Linked DNA regions of Drosophila melanogaster. The protein of the gene in region 1 purifies or fractionates together with the protein of each later gene. This does not show direct contact. Each region holds a gene or a part of one and is shown on either strand. Other genes may lie near its edges. The genes, in order: bru3 and mRpL1.

Region 1 (11,337 bases):
ACTGCGAACTCTCACCCACACAGGCGTAAAATGCCACAAAAGAGAGAGTTTTACAGAGAAATTTGAAAAGAGAATCGCCGGGGCAATTACAAAGAGACTCGTGTGCATTTGGCTTTGATTTCGCCATCTAATTTGGCTTTGTTTTGGTTTTGCATACTCCGCACAGTTCTCTAAACTTTCGCTCGCGCTGCATCAGCTTTTCTGCTCCACCACCCACTCAAGCCAACCAGCCACCTATCCACCCACCACCCACTATCGCCTAGTCCTTCGTCCTTTTTGGCAGCGTCTCAAGCGGCGTGTGTGGGCTGCACTCCTGCTTAATGTTGATTCGCTTAGGCCTATTTTCTAGTCTAGGCCTCGTCGTCCTAGGACCACTACATGTGTGAGGTCCTAGCGCAGGCGCCAGCAGCACGAGCAGTCAGGCCTGACTACATTCGTGCAAGTTTGAATAATTCATTTGGCTATTTTCTTATCTTTATGTTTACAAGTTCTAGAGTCAGTTTTTTTGCGGTAGGTTAGTTAGCCCGTTAAAGCGAAATCCCCATGACCAACCCCAAAATTAAAGAAAAAAAGGCAGTCAGGCAACCCAAACTTCGACCGGCGAATTCACTTTCCCGAAGCAAAAACAAAAACCCCACCACCACCCAATCCAAAAACCCCACCCACACAACGACCACCACTGTCGGCCATCCCAAAAAGAGTCCTTCGGAAAAGCCGAAGTCGTGTTTTGACTGCTCCATTTCCATTCGTTCCGCAGCCGCCTGGCATTGCCAGCTATTGCATCCTGTCGCTTCAGTTGTGTGGCAGTAGCCGCTTTGTAAACATTTATCGTCGTTCACCCACCGCGTCGTCCTTGTTGTCGCCTCCTCCGTGTTTGTGCTACGAGTTTTCGTCATCGTCATCGCCATCGCCCTCGTCATCGTCGGCGTCATCTTTCTCCTCTTTCGGTCCAGATCCTGCACCGCTTGTTTTGGCCATCCAACCGACGAGTCGGGTGTTGATACATTTTGGCCCGTAACTTTGACGAGCGTCAAAGAGAATTAAAGCCCCTCCAAAAGCCACCACCCTTCGGCCCCAGTGTTTGTGATTCCAGTGAAAGTTGTGCTTCAAAAATTCGACAACATCTCGTTGGTGGAAAGCAAAAGTATTTCGGAAAATGCAATTAATTACCAACTCATTTTAATAATGCTGATTTGGAAAAGCTTTTTAAAACATATTTCAAATTGATAGCGTGTCTGCTTTGAATGCCATCTTCGTCCAGAACAATAATTTGAAATTAAAGTTATTTCATGTTTTCAGTTTTGTCTTGACTGTGTTGTCCTGCTACTTCTTAGTTTGCTGTGCCGCACGTTTAAATTACATTAAAACTTTATACGATTTTTATTGTTAGTGGATACATTTGTGAAGCATAGTCATATAAATCAAGTTGCCAAAGCCATCCACTCTATACTGCCATCCTTAAAGAGATTTAGTTTTCTTTTATTTAGCTAACTAAGCAATTTGGCGCGGCTTATATGTCTGCTCAAATTGACCGCTATAAATTCAGACAATTTAAGCAGACACAAAACGTTAAAATAGTTTTACTATGTTCAGCGAAACACTTTCCAAGCATTGCAGGCTATTACTTTTCCAATCGAACTCCCACCTGTTAAACAGACATTACTCATACGCACAGTGTGCTTGAATTGAAGTTAAGAGTTGGCGTCCCATAAAAATGTTGATCACATTTTATACACTGACCTATGGTCCTGTCTACTTCCGAGGTCCTTTCTGCCTGTCCACACTGAACCTTTTAAAGTTGTCCACCCATGGACTCACAATAAGTTAAATATGTGTGAGTGAGGCAACTGCTGCTGATTCTCCCAGGCGCTACAGCCATTATTTCTTCCACTTGCGCAGCTTCCTTGGCCAGCATCTTAGTTTCTGTGGCCGTATATGTGTGTGTGTGTGTGTGTCTGAGTGTGCTATGTGTGCCCAGCTGTGCAATTGTTGACACCCACAGAACACAGAGCCACGTACACGTGCAAAGGGGCTTGTTTTTCGATACAGCAGCTGCAGCTGCCGGCTTGAAACGCTCCATTTGTGCAGCCAATCGCTACAGGCGGCGGCCTGTTATTTATACCCTAACCAAGCTGATGGAATAAGGATTATTAAGGATATGCTAAAATGAAAAGTAATTTGAACTGACCTTCGGAATGGAAATTGCGCCTTCAAATTAATTTACCCTGTGATAAAAGATAACTAGAAGAGTGTATTATTTGACTTGAGTCTAGCAGAAAGTGTACTAAAAATTCGTATAATAGCAAACGTATTTTCTTAATATACATTAGTTTGCCCCCTTAAGCTTGTGGTTCCAGAGCCTGACTGCCTCTCGCGCATTGAGTTCATTACCCCGTTGTGGTTAAGAAGGAGTGGCGGGCTTAGGCAGACTAATGTAATATTTAAGCGACAGAAATATTCACAAAAAGTTCAGCTTAATCGCAAGCTGCATCTGTTGCTATACCAACTTTTGCCTGGTATTTAAGTAAGGCATCAAAATTAAGCAAAACCTACGGAGTCTGCCCGAGGGAAGCCAAGCCCAAAACCACTTATTGCCAAAGTTTCGGCAAACTCCTTCATTTCATTATTGATTATTTCCAACCTTTATTTTCTACGCTTTATTTTGTTACAATACCCAGTTCAAGTTCCTCAGCTCTGAACTCTCTTTTTATGAGTACTTTAAAACTCCTCGAGTTCCGCTGACTTTTACTAACTTTGATGGCAGAAGCGCACGGATGAAAAGATTTGTGACGATTATTAAAAATAATTTTTTCCCCTTTTTGTGGCATTTAAGTGAGTAGCTGTAAAAATCTATAACGTTATTTTGGCGAGAAATAGAAAATTGGCAAAAATAGTATTGTAGTTGACTAAAGACGAAAACTTTAAAAATACCAAAATTGTACCCACATGTAAGGAACAAGACGAATTGTAAAGAAGCATTTAAGCTGACTTACAAAACTTAATGGTGCCAGAATTGCCAGGGCCTTTGAGAGGATTCTCTCTGTTTAAATCGTTCCACAGTAGTGTGATCTAAGCTTGTTTTGGTCCTTACAATATAGCAAATGTCGTCAAATCCATACACAGAAGTAAACATCCACAAACACAGACACTTATGGGCAGACCCAGAAAGCCACGGGCATTGCCTTCTAAGTCTCGTCCTTTTTTTCCACTGTTGTCCTTTTTATTTATCTCGCTTGCTCATTTTTGTGTTTTTGTTTTGCATTCTCAACGAGGCCAAACCGCACACACACGCACGCCCCCATGCAAATAACGCCACACACACACACATATACACCCATACACCCACACACATACACGCGCACACATAGACATGGTGAATGAGAAGAAGACAAGGCGTGACAAGTGCAGGCTTCATCCGAACGTGCCCTCTGCACTCAGCCCCTCCACCACCTCTACCTCCTCCCCCGACGCCTGTCAAGTCAACACCCTTCTCCGCCCGCTGCCATAACCAAAAAGAGGAAAAACTTTAACTAGATGCATATATAAATTGCGTTCTATATATTTATGCCCCGACATATATGCAAATGCATCATGGCTGCGCGGCAGTGGAGGCACAGCTTCTATTAAATATGCTTATTATGACACAAGCAAACATACAAACTTAATGTTTATTGGGTTCTTGGCGTTGGGTTCACAAGAGCAGAAAAAATATTTAATTGATAAATTCAGCAACGATAGCTTTACTGGCTGATTTAAGTGGATACAATTAAAACTAGTTTCTCTTTCTCTATTTGCGCAGTTCTTTCGATTTATTTGTTATAATTAAATTAATATGATTTATTTTAACCGATTTATTTGCACACAAAAAATAGTGTAAAAATTTTTTAAATATTGAAAAAAAAAAAACGTATAAACGCTAGTATTTCGCAGCTTTTTAAATTTGCCTTTAAATTGAGCTTCTGATTAATAGCGCCTGTTTTTTATGCCGGCAAAGTCCTTCCTTTTTTGTGTTAAAGATATCCTCTTCCATTCTCATCTGGTGTTTTCGATGTTTCTCCCTTAGGCTTTTTGGCTCATCTTAACTCACAGCGTTCCTTTTTAGTTTCACTGTCTCCATTCGTTTTGCCTTCCATAAATAAAATAAATGTAGGTGAAAATATACATAAATAATGGGCACAAGCGCGGCTTTTTTTATGAAGTGTTTGAATGTGCGAGTGTCAACCCAGGGCACTTGAAAGATGGTGGGGAGGGGGGCTTGTGATGGGGGCGACGTCTGTGAAAATTATAAAACAGACGACGCAGCCATTCTGGCGGGGCAAAGATATTATGGCCTCTGAAGGCTGAGAAGGGGACCCCTGCCATGTAGGCGTGTGTAAATAGCAAAAACCTAGTCGGGCGTACACAAGCCAAGTCATCATGGAAAATGGCTAAACAGGCAAAAGAATAAGGGCCAAAGAAGATAGAAAGATAACAGAGTGGAAGGCATGACAAATACGTTTTCTCTGCCTTTTTTTTATGGCATATACATATATGCCCCGAGGTAGTGGGACGTATAAAGTTTGACCTCCAATCAATAAATCACATTAAAAGGGGATCTTTCAAGAAATGAAGAGAATGACAATGGACAAAGATGGCCAATAACTGACCCATAATTGTTCATTGTCACGTCATTGTCCGCGTCAGTTGCTCAAGGCACATGAGAATAGTATCCAGCAAGAAATGTATTTATTCTTGGCCTCTTTTTCGTTCTTTTCCGCTAATTATTGTGTAATATTAATCTTATTAATAAATAACAAGGAATCATAGTATCCATATACTAAGAAACATCTCTCTAATAGCTAAGAAGTATCCTTTTCTTGTCACCTAGATCTCGCTTTTCTCCGCAAGCTAGATATACAGCCCAAGTATCCTTAATAAACACCGCACCGATAAATGACTGTTACTCATAGTATTCACCTAGAAAGGATGATGTACTTTTCCCCGAAATGAACACTTCGCCATTAAATGGGTGAGGAGTATCCTTTTTGTATCACTTGGCTCTGGATTTTCGCCGCTTTTCTCTCTTCATTTTCTTCTGGGCCAGTCAGGTCTCATCATCCGCTTGCGCTTTTTTCTCAGCTTTTGGCTTGATTTCCTTTTTTGTCGCTACAGCCAGAGTCCTTTTGCTCCGCGCTTGCCTTTTACTAGCCCAGACTGCGCCCACAAAGACGTGTACATATATGTGTTTTTCCAGCTGCCAAAAGGCTGCGCTTGGCTTCTTCGCAGCCAGTGTTTTGTTTTTGGCTTCGTCAGCCAACTTTAGCTATTGACAGACCTTGCCACCTCGCGTCCATGTCCTTGCTGGAAAACATTTCGCTTTCAGCGCTCATTTTGCAGGATGTCGGGAAAGTGATGTAAAAAATATACACAACAATTTCAAGATATCTTCTGTGGCCTATACTGCGTGCCCAAAAGCCATAATTATCACGCGTTCACATGGCGTATACGAGATTTTGCTGTTTCGCGTTTAAACTCTTAACCGAAATTTATGCTTTCGCTGTTGCTAATTGTACATTTTGTTGCTCTTGCTGTTTATAATGTAAAATTTATTGTGTTTGTGCATGTTTATTATCGCCACGCCGTTACGCGCCCTCATATGGATTTGTAACACGCCCCCCTACACCCCCTCTTTAAACATCACTGTGCATTTATGTTTTACAGCGTCTGCAAAAAATATTATCAAAAGTAATAAATGAATAACAAAATACAAAACAAACGCCATCAATAATTCATGGGAAAAAAAACAACACAAACAGAAATAACCAAAAATAAAAGCTTGCGGCGCGTCGTTCTTTAAATATTTTATAAATTAATTCTGCAAACAGCGTAAGCGAAATTAAAAAATACAACAAAAACATCAGGAATTAATGTAGTGCCTAATGCAATGTGTAATAAAACCGTGTAGACCAGGAGGTGCGCCAGATCATTAAATACCAGCAAACACTGTTAGGTGAAAAAAAAAAAAAAATTATGAAATACAAATTTATATTTATTATTGAATAAATATGCAGAGTAAATATTACATATGCTAACCGTGAAAACAAATTGAATTATACAGCAAATAAAACAACAAATACTTTTCGTCGTGTTTTCGAATGTTTGGCTATTAAAGCGCTTACAGCTTAATTGGGCGTTACAAAGTGGTAAGTAAAAAAATAAACACTTTTGATAAACAATTATTTTTGAAAATATAAATTATTAAAATGATTTTAGTCAAAAGTTTCATAGAATAAGAAGATGCTTTACATATTCATAGTGTTATATTTTGATATATGTCCGTTTCTCTTTTTATTTTTTTAGCCCACATTAATCAAACGACTATCTCAGTAAATTTGCACAGTATTATTATAGTTTAATTCATCGCACAAAAGACTCCTTAATCTTTCATGCAGCGATCTTTTAATATCCTCTAACTATTATCAAAACATATCAAAAATTGTAATTAAGATACCATTGCATTTCCCTTGGTAAATATATCACAGTTTTTTCTAATTTAAACACACGTACACAACGTCGTTCATGGCTTTATCAGCCAACTTTGCTGATTCAAAGATATCTGTCGACCCTCATCCATCAACAAAAACCCAACCACAAATGTCACATGCAAATTCGGTTCGCCTTGTAACGGAAGTGCAAGCAAAAAATAGCGAAAGATTTTTATACATAACTTTTTATGCTACTCATTGTTGGGAGCAGAAACTTCAACCTCCTTCCAACGGTTTGAGGTGGTGCTTGCTGCACTTTTGCGGCGAGGTGAGCTGTACGGGTGTGTGCACGTTTTTGCATTTGCACCACTTTATTTCAATTTTATTCGCCATTTTCTTCGTTTGCGTGGTACATTTCCTGGGGACGAGACGCAGCAGTGACTTTTGCTCGGCAGCTGACTCGACTCCACTTTCCGTTTACCCTGGGCTGCCCTCCTCATTACCCTCTTTACATTTCTAATTACACGCTCATTTTAAACTTGAAACATTTGCAAACGGATGCCTGGGTCTGGAGGAGTCTGCGATTTTCAGTAACAATTTTCCATTTCCCATGCCATGAGGCTGCAAAAATGTTGGGTCACAAACGTAATAGACCAGATTTTCCTGTGACTGCTAAAGAAACCTAGCTGGCCGACCACAAATGTCTGGCATCTAGGGCTTGATTTGGAGACAAGTCTTGCATTTGACAATTTTCTTTCATTTTGGGGCCTGAAAACATTTTCCTACAATGTTCTCAATATATTCCACTATTTTCGAGTTCATTTTAAGACCAATTGATATTACTAGTAGTATTTAATCTTAAATGTTCGCTTAGGGAATAGTAATTTTTAATTGCCGTTTTTATACTTAGAACACAAAAAGTAGACACTGTAATTTGCGAACCCTGGACATACCAAACGCGTTTTCGTTTTGTTAAGTTACTAAAAAATTAAAACAATGCTGCATGTCCATTTTGCATGTGAGGAAACATTTGGCGCGCAAGTAAATGTGCATGTGGGTGAGATGGTTTTTGCCGTTTCTAGACTGCTCTTTGTTTGAGTTGTGTTTTAATTTCCATATTACGTGCTGGCCAGAGATTTATCAATGCGATTTATATAAGCCATAATTTCTCCATTTCACCCAGAAGTAAGTTAGTAAATTACTGCAATCGCTTGCAACATCAATGGGTAAAATTTAACAGCAATAACCTTACATAAGATTTCACTATTTTCCTTTTTTTATAATAGTTTGAAAAATTTATATTATTAATTGTTTAATTAGAAATAGAATAAGTATGGATTAGAAAGTAATAATGAAGTGAAAGGAAGCGGCGTTGACTTACGTTGCCATTTGACCTTTTCAGGCCCCTTGAAGGGCAATTCTAACACACTGTCTCTCTCACAGGAAATGTTTATAACATGTCCTCCTTTGACAACTTATTCAATGAAAAGTTTCAAATAGTAGCTTATGAATAGTAAAAGAAAGATTATGAAATCTATTGGTAAGCGTTTAAAATGTAATTGAAATATTGCTCATACGCAGCATGTGCCCATTTATTGAAACTGGAAAGAATGCCAAGTTGGTTCATACCCAGTTGGCCCAATCAGGCCAATTCAATGACATAAATCTTAAGGCAATAAAGCAAAGAATGTCGCAGCATGAGACTATTATATTGTGCATACTGAGCTGGTAAAGCAAATCTCGTAAATGTACTAATATAAAATTGGTATTAATGGGCTGTCGCCTTAGGTGAAATTACCTTTAAGAATAATTGTATAAACAAGCAAGGGGATAGGAAGTTTAATAAGAAAGTATAAACTTTATAATTGAGAAAACTATTTAAGCCTATTTAAGCTTTTTTTATCTAACCTTTATCTCAACTTTTTCCGTTCTATGGTTCTACTTTTGCGTCTTTAAATTTAGCAATTGCCGCACTTGTAGGAAAGTTTCAATTATAAGTCAGTGTGCCAAAAATTGTTTCACAAACTCTAATTAATTTATAGTGCTTCACAACTCGTAGCTTAAATGGTGCAGTTGATAAATTGGCGAGATAAAATTATAATAATGCTGATGTGGAAATAAAATATGCAAAATACTTATTGTACAACTCGTTCCTATTTAATGATATCTTTTCTCAGTTACTATTAAATATGTTAATCTGCGCAAAGCGGCACTAAAAAAAATACACCAACACGCAGGTAAAACTGAAAATACCTTTAAAGAAAACAAACTTCAGCGGCGCTATCAACTGCAGATTTCGCTGTTGGTATTGCCAATTTAAGCGAAAATTAAATTGGAATTTGCAATGAATATTTGAACAAAAGTACACAGACCAGAGTGCGGTAAGCGAGCAGTGGTAATGGGATCGAAGCGAGAGGATGGGCATAGGCTGCATGAAATGAACACAAGTGTTGAGCAAAGTGAATGCGTAATGCGTTTTTGCACCCGGAACAGGACAGGACCACCAAAAAAAAAAAAAAAAAAGTCGGACGCTGTCAGTCACCCAGGTCCGTAATTTGCAGCCCGGGTATTCCGCTGAGTTGTTTCCTCCGGTATATGTGGTTTTTCTTTGATATCCTAACAAAAAGGATGAACTCATCAGAAAAGGATTTGTAGCTCTTCAGAAATAATGATTTCACATGCTCGCATTTACAAATACCACTTTTAATATTTATTAAGTCTTTTATTTTAGATGTTCTCTAATGTTTTGGTCCTAAAAAATTAAGTTCTGTACAGCACGCTCTTAAAGAACAAATAGAAAAAACGTTGGGCGCCAATCTTTCGTTTACATGTTAAGATAAAGGCTTAATCTATAATATATATACGTCACAAAGCTTATATTATTCCATAGACGATGTGAATAAGTTTTGAAATGAGTTTTCAATAGAGGCCTTCAAAATCAGGAAGTTGCTTTCTGATTGAGTGAAGCTTGTTTGGTAGGTCTCTGAAAATGTGCACGCCTGCCCAGAACAAATCCATTCCTTGATGTTGACCCCTTTAGATCGAACGGCAATTGCAATGGATTTGATTTTTCCATACTTTGCCGTCGAGCGTGACATCCACGTAGCCCTTCACGCTTCTCCCGCTTCCGCCCTTCTGTCACATGTGAAATTGGGCGGCTGACATGTTTGCCTGTGTTTTTTTTTTTTTTTTTTGCCACCACCTCCCGTTTTTCCATTGCTCATGTTAGAGTAGGTAATTTTTTAATGCATTTAAACGGCTGTCAAGTGGCCCACACACGCCACTTCGCTTCTGAAACCGCTCCACATTGCCTCCGTGCCCCATCCTTTGCCCTTTGTTAGCAGTTTTGGAAAGTGACGCGGCGCGAGCAGTTGCCCAAAAATATGCAAAAACCCGCGAGCACTTACGACAAGCTCGTTGCGAAGGCAGGAGGACTATATCAGGTTGCGGCCCTCAACAGCAAAGCAAAATTTAGACATTCAGCCTACAGTTTGGTGTTCAGTTTTCATTCACCGAAAAGTGAAACCAAATAGAAAAAAAATGCTTTTTCGAGGAAATAGCGCACAGTCGATGGGTAGTTAGTTGCTTGACGAAATTCGTTCATTGTCCTGTAGATTAGGAGAAATATAGCTACAAGGCTATGTCTAGTTGTATCATAAACAACAAGTCAGTTGCAGGATTGTTATGTTTGCAAAAATCAATAAGTTAATAGGAAATGGATCGGCATTGATAATACACATGCTGCTTGGCAGAACATCTAGGATTCGTTGTAAAACGTGCTTTTATTTCCCTTTGTTTTGAGCACTCACAACGTTGGCTTGCCTGTCGGAGCAGAGTCAAGTAGAGGACATACAAAATTGAAATAAAGTACAAACATGTTGCCAACTTTTTGCACAGCAGCAACAACAACAACAATAACCACTGTCTGTCATTCAGTCTGTCGGTCTGTGGAATGGTTTAGGCCCATAACAACAACAACAAACAACAACAACAACAGCGACGGAGAGCGAGGCAGGAAAAAGTTTTAACTGATTACGTTTGCTGTTGATAATGTTGAGTGACATTTGGTTTGCGTATTAACTTAAGTGAGCGACAGCAGCTGTCTGTCCCCCGCCAACTGAACGCATACACATACACACGTACAAATGTGGAGTGTCCTGGATCCACCCACGGATTCACCCCTTTTGGGAGCTCTCCGGATTGCCAGGAGGTTTGTATTTCAATTAAAAAATTAATTTTTTAATGTGACCCGCTGATGGGGCTCTGCATCCCGATGAATGGCAAATGCTTTTAGAAATTAATGTGGACGAAAGAAAGCCAACAATCGAGTTGGGATGAATTATATGTTGGTATAATGAATTGTAAAAGTTATTTATGCTGGTATCAGCAGCCATACCATATAATCAGGATTCAATAAAATCGTCAAGCTCTTTTTTACCCTCCACCTGGCTCAAGTAATTGTATACATTGGCACTAGAATCGCTCAGGTTGTATTTTTGTCGCGTTGCCAAATTCAAATATCTTTTAAGTCCTTTTTGCCAAGCCAATAAACCAGCACTTAACCGCAATTACCCCCCGTTTTTCGGCAAACAAGGGGGTCGGGCAAAGAGCAGCGTTTTTTATGCCACTCTTGTACTCGCAACCTCTTCTTTATCCTTTCTCCCAGCCACCCCAAAGCCCCCCTCTGAATGTGCACTGCAATCAGTCTTCATTTACACTTTGCACCTGGGGCGCTTGGCTTGCCGTTAGTCTCTCAACTCAGCTCTCGGTTCCCAAGGCCCACTACGTAGTACCCACTACCAACTACCTACTACCTACTACCTACTACCTACTACCCACGCCCCAGTTCACAGTTCAGAGTTCCCAGTTCAGT
Region 2 (11,124 bases), on another chromosome or scaffold:
AAACTGAGTGGGTATCCGCATCGCTGCTGTCGCTCTCCGTCTTGCTGTTCTGCCGGGAACCCATTTTTCGCAGTCGCAGCAGTTTTTTCTTAGCAGAAGCACTTGCACTGGTTGCACCATTATTGGCAATCGGATTGGCATTCACGGTGGGCAAACTGGATCGGCACAAAGTGCCCGTTGTGGTGCTAGTCTCCGTTTCATGCTCCATCGGTGAAGCTGCACTAGCACTGTTGTCATCCTGAGCCAATCGATCCCGGCTGGAGTTGTCGCAGGTGGCATAGGCCGAACTGGAGTCCAACTGCTGCCCATCCTCGCTGGTGATGTTAATATCCGGCACTAAGTCTCGGGGATACCGGTTGCTTCCACCCTCTACAAAGTCATTAAGATTCGAATAAGGTACGGTTCGGTTAAGTGGAAGAAATTCTTACGTATACTCAGCTTAAGGCACTGCAGGCATTCATACAGTCCTTGGAGTTCCTCCAGATACTCCAGCGTTCGCTCTTGCATGGTTTCTTGGCAGCAGGCTTCGTCCAAAGGCGATTTTTGGCTCTAAAATGATAAGTATTTAGCAAACAAATTGGTAAACAAATAACTCAAATTTTTAATTGTCATCTCACCAGCTCGGTTAGTCGTCCCAGTTCGCTCTGGACATCGGATATGGCGTTGAGCACGCCCGCCCTCATCAGGTTGTTGGAGTAGTACGGATAAATGCTACGAATGCTAAGTAATGCGGCCTGGCAGTCCCGCATGGACGGGTGTTCTAGCAGATCGGGCGAAGCATTCTTCAGTTGGCCAAACAGCTCATCGGCACGTTTCAGTGCTCCCAGCAAGGGGGCCAGATTTGTGTGGGACTCAAAGCTCTGGACGCGACGCGAATTGCTGGAGGGAATGAGAAGCCATCAGTTTACGTAGGATCGGGTATTCCAAATGGCACCTACACATAGTCGTTACACTGCACCTCCTCGTACTTATATATGGGCGTCTGCTGCTCCACCAGAGTGTGAGCGGTGACCAGTGGAGAGGCGGTGTCATGAATGTGCTCCTCCACCTCCACCATCACAGCCTCCGGCTCGTCGTACTTTTTGAACTCGTGATCGGTGAGGGCGTCGGTGTCCTCGACTTCCTTCAGATCGTTGACGTCGTTTAGAGAAAGGGATGAAGCCTGCTGGGAGATGGCCTGGGCCAGGTTGCAGTTGGGTGACACACTGTCAAGGGACAGTGAACGGCTGAGAGTCGGGGAGTGATCCGCTGCCACTATAGAAAAGTTAAGAATTAACTTCAGATCGATCAGATAGTTCCATACCCACCTTTATTGCACTCCTTGTTGATGCGCCTCACATCTATGGGACAGTAACCAGGATGCAGCAGGGCAAACGTGGATGCTTCCGGCCCGATTCCCCTAGCTTTCTCCCACTCGTAAAGCTTCCTAGTGAACTTCCTCGAGATGCCCTCAAACTTCATCACCTCTCCATCCGAAGTCTTGACCTCAATTTTCTTGGTATGATCCGGTACCACAATGGCCTTTAGGCGGGACAATCTATCCAAATATTCAAGGTTTAGTCTTCAGAAGAGAAAGATTTTCGGCTGTCTACAAACTTCTCTTTCTCGTGCGGCCTATGCTTGTACCATCGATCGTCATCGGATCCCCTTCTTGTACTCTGACTGTGCTTGGATCCTCGCTTCAGGGAGTCATTGTCCGAGGTAGTGCCGCCACCAGGAGCGCACTTCAACCGATTCCACTGCTCTGTGGGCAAGGCATGTTGTTAAATATGACTATAAAAGGAAAAACCGTGCCAAATACCAACCCAACTTCTTCTGAAACTTCTCGGGCAGATCCTTCTGATCAGGCAAAGCGCACAATCCTTGGCCCTCCAACTTCACTTGACCCATGCTCCACAGATTCCAGTCAATCTTGGGCTTAACATCCCCACTTTGGCTCTTGGCCGTGGGACTTGCTGCTGGTTCTGATGAGGTGATTGATCCTGCAGAGCAATTTTGCTGCTTGGCCCGCCACTTGGTTAGCTTCTTTTTGAACTGTGGGGTAAGATTCTGCTCCAGCTGGGCTGTGGACATGAGTTCGTTGTGCAACAGTTGGGTGGGCGAGTGCTCCTCGCTGCTGCGCTTTCCACTACCAGCTCCTCCTCCGGCTGCTCCACTTCCCAGTTTGACACCTAAAATGGTGGTTTAGCATTGATTAGAGGCTTATTGGATATGTCTTCAATGTTTTTGAGGATCCCTACTGCGGTTGCTGGCGCTGGAACGCTCTAACTCGAGTTGCTTGCCCTTAAACTCTGAATCTAGTTTGAGTACGAGAAGTTGATAATGTTGAAATATCTCGTCATCGGCGTTCTGTGGGAAATTCTTACAGTTTGGCGTAGTGGGTTCCGAGAAATCACCACTGGATAGATCCTCGCTCTCTGCAAAATACCACAAGGTTAAAGAAGTTTCGTTATGACAAAGGGATTGTGGAGTGAAACCATCCCCTCTTGGACCTACCAAATTCACCAAAGAAATCCGATTGCCTGGAAGGACTGCTGGGCACCGAGGAGGTCCCCGGCGAATGGACACGACGCATGCGCGAATCCTTGGGACTCTTGAGCGGAGAGTGCAGTTGTGGCAGATCACTATACATCTGGTTCACCTGGTTGAGATTCAGTGGACTCGGTGGCACCTTTTGTCGACGACTGCTGGTAGCCTTAATCTCCGCCACATGATCCTCTGGCAGGACCTCAAAGTCGGAGAAGGCTTTCGACCTTCGCAATGACTTGCTGGATGATGATTTGATTGGTAGTGGCGGAGCTGAAGATTTAATATTGTCCAGGCGTTCGTCAGTAGCGGATTTTCGTAACTCCACCTCAAAGTTGGAGTCGCGGGATTCGCAGCGGGTATCACTTTTAGAGGAATCACGACCTGGAAAGGATTGACATTACTCTAACGAGCTGTAAATTAATTATTATTAAGAGAATTACGATAATTCTGTCGGGTGGTGGCCTCAAGATCATCCATGGAGCTGGCCGAACTGATGGTACCAGGTGTCCCACCCGTATCACTCATAATATGACCAGAGGAGGAGCTGATGATGCTGTCCGCGGAACTGCTGCCGGCTGCCGCGCTAATGGGCACCTTGAGGTATCTGAAAAATAAATAAGCAATAGAATAACGCCAATGAGAGTAACAATCCGCAATACAAACCTCTCCACCTCATGGTTGAGTGGCATCAAGACGTGGTTTTCCAGAGCACCTGGTCCCGAAGGCGGCACATTTGCCCGCTCCCACTTGAAGGCGGCCTTGACCTTGGTCCACTTGGACACCTTGGCCTTGTTGTCGCTGTAGGTGCTTTGACGCCTCAGGATATATGGTCGCGAGGAGCTCAGCTTTAGACTGGGACGATCGCCCTTCATGAACACGTTTATGTCCTCCTCCATCATGGACTTGCTACGCTCGCGAATACTGTATAACAAAGTGTAATTTTGTTTTTGAATTATATTCATACGCAAAAAATCATAATCACCGTTTAAACTTTCCCTGCTTGAAGGGCGGCACCACCTCAGTGCCCATCAGAGATTCTAGCCAGGTAAGGGAGTGCTCCAGATCGAACTGATGGTCAGTATTGTTGGAGCGAGGCGGCTTGGTGGGTGGATGCTGATTGGCAACTTGACTAGTGGAAGGAACATCGTCATCATCAACAACTGTCAGCTCAGCTTCCCGTTCACCCGCCTCGTTGTCGGTGATGGTGGCTAGTCGGTGCTCCAGAAATCCCTCCAGCAAAGCGTACGTGCGAGTCAGCTCATCCATGGCTTCAATTGCCGAGTTGAGGCGAGTTTTCAGCGGTTCGATGGTGCCCCGATCCGCCCGATAGGGCTGGCACTTGGAGCAAGAGTGCTTACCCAGTTCGCAAACGGGCAGATCCTTGGCCTCTCTCCTCTCGAATTTAGGGGAGGCGGAGAGATTGCGGGCACGGGAGGCCACCGCCGGAAACTGGAAAATGTTCTCTTCCGTGCGACCGCACATCGCCGGCGGAGCGGTGGGCAAGGACTCATAGTGCAGGACATTCTGCCGGGATCGCGTTCGTCGGGGTTTTGGCGGTGGATGCGGCGGCGGAGGTGGCTTGTCCCACTCCATCTCGATATCGCTCAATAGGAACTTGTTTGTTTACTCTGCCCGATTCGCCACTAAAAACGCACACAAGAAAAGAATATCCGAGAATTATCAAAATCGGGAGATTGTTTATAGAAGAGGAAGACCAATGTGGAACGTCCGCCGCCAAGCACACACACACACACAAACACACACACACATACAAACGAGTCCTAAAGTGTAACGATTAAGTCCGCGAAATGTAAACAATATTTTCGAAAATCCCATTTCAGCACGTTTTCCCACATGTGCGAAAGTTTTGAATCTTTCCCAAAAATATGCACGCGTGTGGTCACTTAACCGAAACGGAGAACCGATTCGGAATGCACTGTGTTATTGTGTTTTGGGTCTTGATTACGCTTTTGGCTCAACAACTGGATGCCATCGTGCGTCGGGAGGCCCGCCGAAGAACAAATAAAAGCACGCCGCAAACCAAACTATTTATAAAACGCTGACACTCTTTTGTTTGCCTCCCCATGGCGATCGCACTACGCCACCACACACACCCAATGTGCCGCTGGCCCCCTTCTCGATTCCCCATCGCCAAGTGCGCAACACTTCCTTTATTCCACTTTTAGGTTACACGCAATTAATATTTCCAATTTATGCGAAAGTGCACGCACTCGCGAAAGAAATGTGCTGGATGGATGGATGGACGGACGTGGACCGGTGGATCAGTGGGTGGGTGGGTGAATGGGTGGATGGCTGGTGCTGGGATCAGATCATGTGTATCTGAAGTCGGCGGCCCCCATTACTTTCGCCACTTTCCGAACGTTATATCGAAACTGTTGCCACACATTGAATACACACATTTTTCTTTTCTTCGCTCGACTTTTCTTCCTGGCTGCGCTTCTTTTGTTTAATGGGTTTATGCGCAAGGTTGTCGGTCTATTTTTGGTGTTTTGTTGAAAGGAAAAACAATAACAAATTATTACTTGCACTTTTCCTACTTGCACACTCGGTCGTCCGACCCGCCGCGGAATTTTCATCGGCCACTCGCTCGCTGTCTCTTTCTCTCTCCCTCACGGATACTCGCGATTTTCCGCGACTTTGAAATTCCGTATACGTCCGTTCCGTTCGTCGGTCGAAGCTATTCTGAGCGGTACGGCGCTTTTGAACACATCGGAAAAGTTGAAAATTTTGAGATTTATTTATAGAGAGAACGGGCAGTGTTTTGATCTCTTTGCTGATTTCCAAAGGTCTCTTTGAATATAATTAATCAATGGGTTAATCAGCCCTATAGTGGATTTCTTATTGAAAAATAATAATTAAAATTCAATCACTATGTAATTAAATGTATTTTTACAATTTATGAGATAAAAATTGGGTGTACAGGTTCATACCCAATTTCTAACTCATAAATTATTATTCGAATAAACGCACCTCAAAATAGTTTTTGAAAAAGCCCGTTAAAAACATTGACTTCAATTCGTGCTATTACTATTAGCCAAGTTTACAACCATGGTTCGTGGTCAGGCTTTTATCAGCTACAGTGTGGTAAACAGTAGTTTTCCGACGAAGAGTTGGCAGTTCTGGCCGGCGAGGTTATGCAAAGCGAGAGGTTTGCATTCCAGTAAATAGTAATATTTCTGAAAGAAATGCAGTCCATTCTGTCTTCAATGAGGGCACTGGCCCTGCGCCAGAGCACGGTGGAGCCCCTCCGCCTGCTGCATCTTTCCGCCGTGAGCGAGGCGGCCCGTAAAGGAACTCGGGAGAAGGCCCGCAAGAAGAAAGTCAAGGTGGAAGTGAAGAAGGTTGGATTCATCCCGCACAACCAGCGCAACAAGAAGTAGGTTGTCAGCTCGATGTCCATAACACCGGATTTACTATCGTTCTTCTCTAGAATCAATGTGAAACGGGCGGACAAACATGTGGATGACTCCTGGAAACAGGTGCCCAAAGATGACTGCTATGTGGGGCGCTACTACCGCTGGCCAGTGTACTCGGTGCAGGAAGCTATCCAGTGCCATCGGGAGACGCATCATCCCAGCATGTACAACGTACCCAATGCTCCCCTCAATTTGGATATTGAACTCAACATGCAGGCGGAGAAGATCACACGTTTTGTGGATAACTTCCAGCGCATGGCCATGATTCCACACAAGTTTGACCACGGCGAGGAGCGGAAGATCATAGTTTTCACCAAGGGAAATGTGAGTGCAGCTTCTTAGTACAAAATCATAAAATAACATCTTGAAATTTATTTCCAGAATGAAGTCCTGGAGGCCAGGGAAGCTGGCGCCTCGCTAGTCGGCGGCGTGGAGCTCATTAAGGATATTACCAGCGGCGAGCTGCTGCTCTCCGACTACCAGTACGTCATTGCCCATCCGAATATACTGGCCGAGCTGGTGGCCCTGCGAGGCCTGATGAAACGCAAGTTCCCAAATCCAAAGAGCGAGACGCTGGGCACCAACCTGGCCGAGATGATCGTCAAATTCTCCAGCGGCATTAGTTACAGTGCAGCCAAGGATGAGTACCAGCAAAACTTTGGCCTGATCACCGCCAGTGTGGGCACTTTGGACATGGATGTCCAGAAGCTTGAGGAGAACATCAAGTTCCTACTGCAGGATATTAACACTATGAGGCCCAAGCGCGAGGGACGTTTCATTACACGTGTCCTGCTGAAGAGCCCGCCAAGCAGTGAGCAGCTGAAAATCGATCCCTTTGTCTACGTTCCAGAGATGTGGGACAAGAGCACGGCGAAGGTGAAAAGGGATGGGGCCAAGAAGCAGACAGAGCCGGCGGAACCCCAAGAAGCAGTTGCCTCCAATTAGTTAAAACAGAAGCCTATGTATTTTTGTTGATGGATTGTTTGTGCATACTTTAAACTTACATCTCCTAGAGTCCTAAACAGTCTACTTTACTTTGGCAGCTTTTAATTGCATTCAGGCCTTCTGGGTGGCGGTGCTGCGTTGTTGGTGCTGGCGCATCATCTCCAGCTGCTTGACACGGGTGTAGGCGGCGCTGGCCACCAGGACCACCACATTGGAGGTCCACCAGAGAGCCGATCGAACGTCATGGTAGTACTGAGTGGCGATCACCGTTTGAGCGCAGGCCTTGGCCGTTCCCGAGATATTATGCGTCAGGGCGGATGTGACCTGAAATATCGATCGGGCTAGATAAGCGATTAACATGTGAATTGTTTGATTACCTTGATTTCCAGCGCAGTGACAAATCCAATGGCAAAGCCACAAAGGCCACTAAGCGTCATCGCGGCCCAGAACCAAGAAGCCCACAGGTGCGGATACGTGATAATGCTCTCCAGCTCGCCATTGATGATGATCAGGGGCAGGAAGAGCAACGTGGAGTAGAGATTATTGTAGTAGCTAAGCAGCCATACCTCCTGGTTGACATAACCCAATGATTTCTTCGTCTGAATAGAAAACATGGCCAAAGCAAGCGAACTAAGCACTCCAAAGATGGTTCCCCGCCAGGAGAAGACCTCCGTCAGGCTTTCTTGGTCCACACCCAGCCAGAATCCAACGACAATAGCGCCACAACACAGCAGGCACTTGAAGCTGGTTCGTTGGCGTAGAATCACGTAAGTGAGGACCACACTAAACACGGTTGTTAGGGAGCGACCGATGTAGTAGAAGGCCACTGTGACGTAGGACAGCGACAGGTTGTTGGCCCCAATCATCAGGGTATAGAGCACAGATAGAGGCAGGATCTTGCGGAAGGTGTCGATGTCCAGTGGATTTCCCTCGGGAAACGTAAATACCGAGGGGTACTTCCTGCTCAGCCGACTTGCCACAAAACATATCACTGTGGAAACCACGCATTGGAACCAGGACATAAAGAGCGGAGCTCCCAGGTTTACTGTATCGCTGCTCAGCAGGTGCTTATTTACGAATACCGTCAATATCGAGGTGCACCTGTGGAAGAAATGGAACTGCAGGCGGCGCACAGATGGAGGGTTCGCACGCATTACTCACCAGTAGAGCGACACGACGAAGAATATCTTTAGGTATTTGTTAACCAGCCGGTTGTGCTCCTCCAGATTCTTGTACATTTCGGAGTTTTTAGGAATTGCAGAGCAATTTGTGCGAGCCAAAAGTAATTGTGCGTTTATTTTTACACGTATCTGCTACCCGGTCTGCCGATCAGCTGTTTTCGCTGAGAACGTTTCGGTTGAGTGCGGGGGTGGATTCAGCAGTTGTTCGTTGTGAGATAAAATGAATAATGAAATAAAAACAATCAGCACAAGAGTTCAACGACAGTTTCTTGCTCACCTTTATTGTGCGTTTTCAAAATGCTCTAATTGAAAAAAGTTGTTGAAAACTGTTGATTTAAATTTATTCGTTACAAATTAAATACATACATTATCCAAATCTTATTCTGTCGAGTGTTTTAACCAAACTTGTTACAGAAATAAAGTGCTATGATATAACAAAATATTAATTAAAATACATTTATGTTGTGAGGTGCTCGAAAGAGTGTTTATGTGGTGGATTCATTAATTTATTTTACAGCCTAGTTCTTTTCTAGGAAATATAAACATTTTTGTGTTTCTGAAGTTCCTTTAATGCGTTTATTGCCACTGTTTTCCTTATGATACTCCTCTGTACTTGCTAATTCAAGTCGACAATCCCCAAAATGTACACGTTATAGTAATTATTCTCTGTTAATCTCTCTCGCTGACTCTATAAATAAAGGAGTATGGCCATTTCGCCTACTTCTCCCACTCGCGGAACTCGGTTCCATTTGGAGGCTTCACGGTGACTCTTTCTTTGCCCACCTCATTCCAGTTGGTGCTGAGCACGGTGCCTCCGGACTCCGAGAAGGACTTGTTCATGGCCTTTTGGACCTCGGGCGAGGATGAGCTGTAGATTTTCTTGAACAGGTTGGTGAGGGCCGCCTCGCCCTTGGCCTCCTTCTCGTCGATCTTTTCCTCCTCGCTGACCAGCTGGTCCCAGTTCTTGGCCTTGGGTTTCACCGGTGCAGCCACGATGGCCTCCTCCAGATTCTCCCACCGAATTCCCGTCTCCTTAGCCAGTGTGATTTCCACTTTGGTCGAAAAGGCCTTGTAGGAGGAACGCTCCACAACAATGGGATGAAGCAGCTTCAGGTCCAACTCGTAGCCATCCGCCGTCATGTGGACTCGCTTCTGGGTAATCTCCACAGCATAGTTCTTATCGACGGCGTTCTTCAGGAGCACGGTGATGACCACCTTGGTCTCCGACTGGTACCAGTCGTGGCGCACGGACATCTTGCTGCTTCAGCTGGTACTGGAAATTGGGAATTGTTGAGGATTCCCCTATAATTGCTTTCGCCCACTAAACGGGGTTAATTTTATTATTATCTGGAATTATCTAGAATTCAATACAAATGAATGTGACTAAAGGCAGTGCTACCAGATATAAAATGATTATCGACAATCGATTTTTTGTAGCTTAAGTGGCAGCGCCTATTAAGTTTCAACATTCAAACGTCGATATCGATAAGTATCGACGAACCGGTTCAGAAATCAGGGCTGTGAGCGTGGAATAAGGTGTAGCAACGACTCTAACCTTAATGGAACTGTTGGTGCGGCAAGTAATTTCCAGCACTGCAAAAACTTAAATTAAGGCGCCAATTTCCCTTTTACAAATTTGATTTTTTTGTTTGAACTTTTCATCACGATTGAAATAATTTCAACAGACTAGAAAGTTGTCAAAGACAAAAAAAAGGTTACAAGTTCTTTTTTGCAAGGATACAAATCCACGGGAAATTATTTGAAATCTGCTCACACCAACTGCTCACTTCAACTGCAGCCAACTGAAAACAAAGTTCTAGCCAATTTACGGGCACTTTAATTTCGGTACTTCGCTTTGGGGAAAAAACAGCAGTCGAAAGCGCATAAGTCCCGACGACAGCAAACATAAATTCCAGTCGTCTGGATCCACCCCCCTAAAGAAATCCGCATAGTCAAAGTTTGTCCAAAGTGACAGCAGAATTGAAAAGTGTGCGAGGGGCTGGGCAAGTGGCCCAGAAACTATTTACTGCTCTAAGTTTTATGACTTGCACTCGACTTTTTTTGTATGCTTGCCTTTCCGATCAATTGACAATTATCTTGTGAGAATTGAAGAACAGCTGCTAAAATTCGGAAGACACGCCACTTTTGCATTTAAGTGTGGCAAACAAATTTATTCACAACATAATTTTTTCTCTTAACTTATAACTTTACTCTAACATTATAACTTCGCATATTTGCATCTATAAATAAAATAATAAATAAAACTAAAATATGAAATATGGAATATACAGTTACATTTACATTTCACGCGTGTTTTATGTGCAATTCCTGTACAGATTTGAGAAAATGTCGAGAATAACATTTTATTGCATTCATTACATTTCATTAACATTTGCATGCGAAGGGGAAAATTTAACAGAAGCGTTCTATTCCATATTATTATAGAAATGTTATATTTATCGCATGCGAGAAACCGAGCTATGTAAACTAACAGTCTGCATTCGCGCTTAACAGCTGTGCTGAATAGAGAGGGGTAAGCTGGCTGTTAAAATTTGACACGTGTACACGGTGTACATAAAACGACGTAAAAATAAAGTAGAAATGCTGTTTCGCTCTGATGAGAAAACCAATTGGAAAATATCTAGCCAAGTCAAATTGGAATTTAGTAACTAAAGATTATAAAGATTTATATGTACAGTAAATATAGGCAACGAAAGCAAATGAAAACTATGGCTATTTAAAGTACTCATCACTTGGCCAAAAACACTCTTTCACTGCTTCCACTTACGACAATTAACTGTAAATTATATTTTCCATCAAACGCAATCCGCTCCCCTCCCCCCGGCCAACGAACGCAAGCTGGCATCTCGAAACCGAAATTTATCGAAAACTTTTAGTAAAGCAAATATTGACGTGGTTTCGAGTGGTTGGATGGCTGCGCGGGTGGAGGGGATTGGAGTGCGCTGCACTTGGCGGGAAATGCACTTGGACGGCATACAAATGGCGATGCTGCGATGCGAGTGATGATACAA

Evidence for each region.
Region 2: the proteins of bru3 (region 1) and mRpL1 purify together in Drosophila melanogaster (affinity purification with mass spectrometry, with the first as the bait; one large-scale study listed by BioGRID). This does not show direct contact.

The regions. Positions count from the first base shown.
Region 1 is NT_037436.4:13,792,869-13,804,205, reverse strand, and holds the start of bru3 (bruno 3), read left to right. Parts: upstream 1-5,678; 5' UTR 5,679-6,182; intron 6,183-11,337.
Region 2 is NT_033777.3:8,295,777-8,306,900, forward strand, and holds mRpL1 (mitochondrial ribosomal protein L1), read left to right. Parts: upstream 1-5,663; 5' UTR 5,664-5,735; coding exon 5,736-5,926; intron 5,927-5,980; coding exon 5,981-6,290; intron 6,291-6,347; coding exon 6,348-6,911; 3' UTR 6,912-6,994; downstream 6,995-11,124. Other genes in the region: CG9626 (uncharacterized protein), read right to left, coding at 1-369, 429-549, 618-879, 939-1,254, 1,308-1,537, 1,597-1,744, 1,806-2,171, 2,241-2,417 and 4 more; nac (neuronally altered carbohydrate), read right to left, coding at 7,023-7,235, 7,289-8,012, 8,073-8,149; Sgt1 (suppressor-of-G2-allele-of-skp1), read right to left, coding at 8,810-9,346.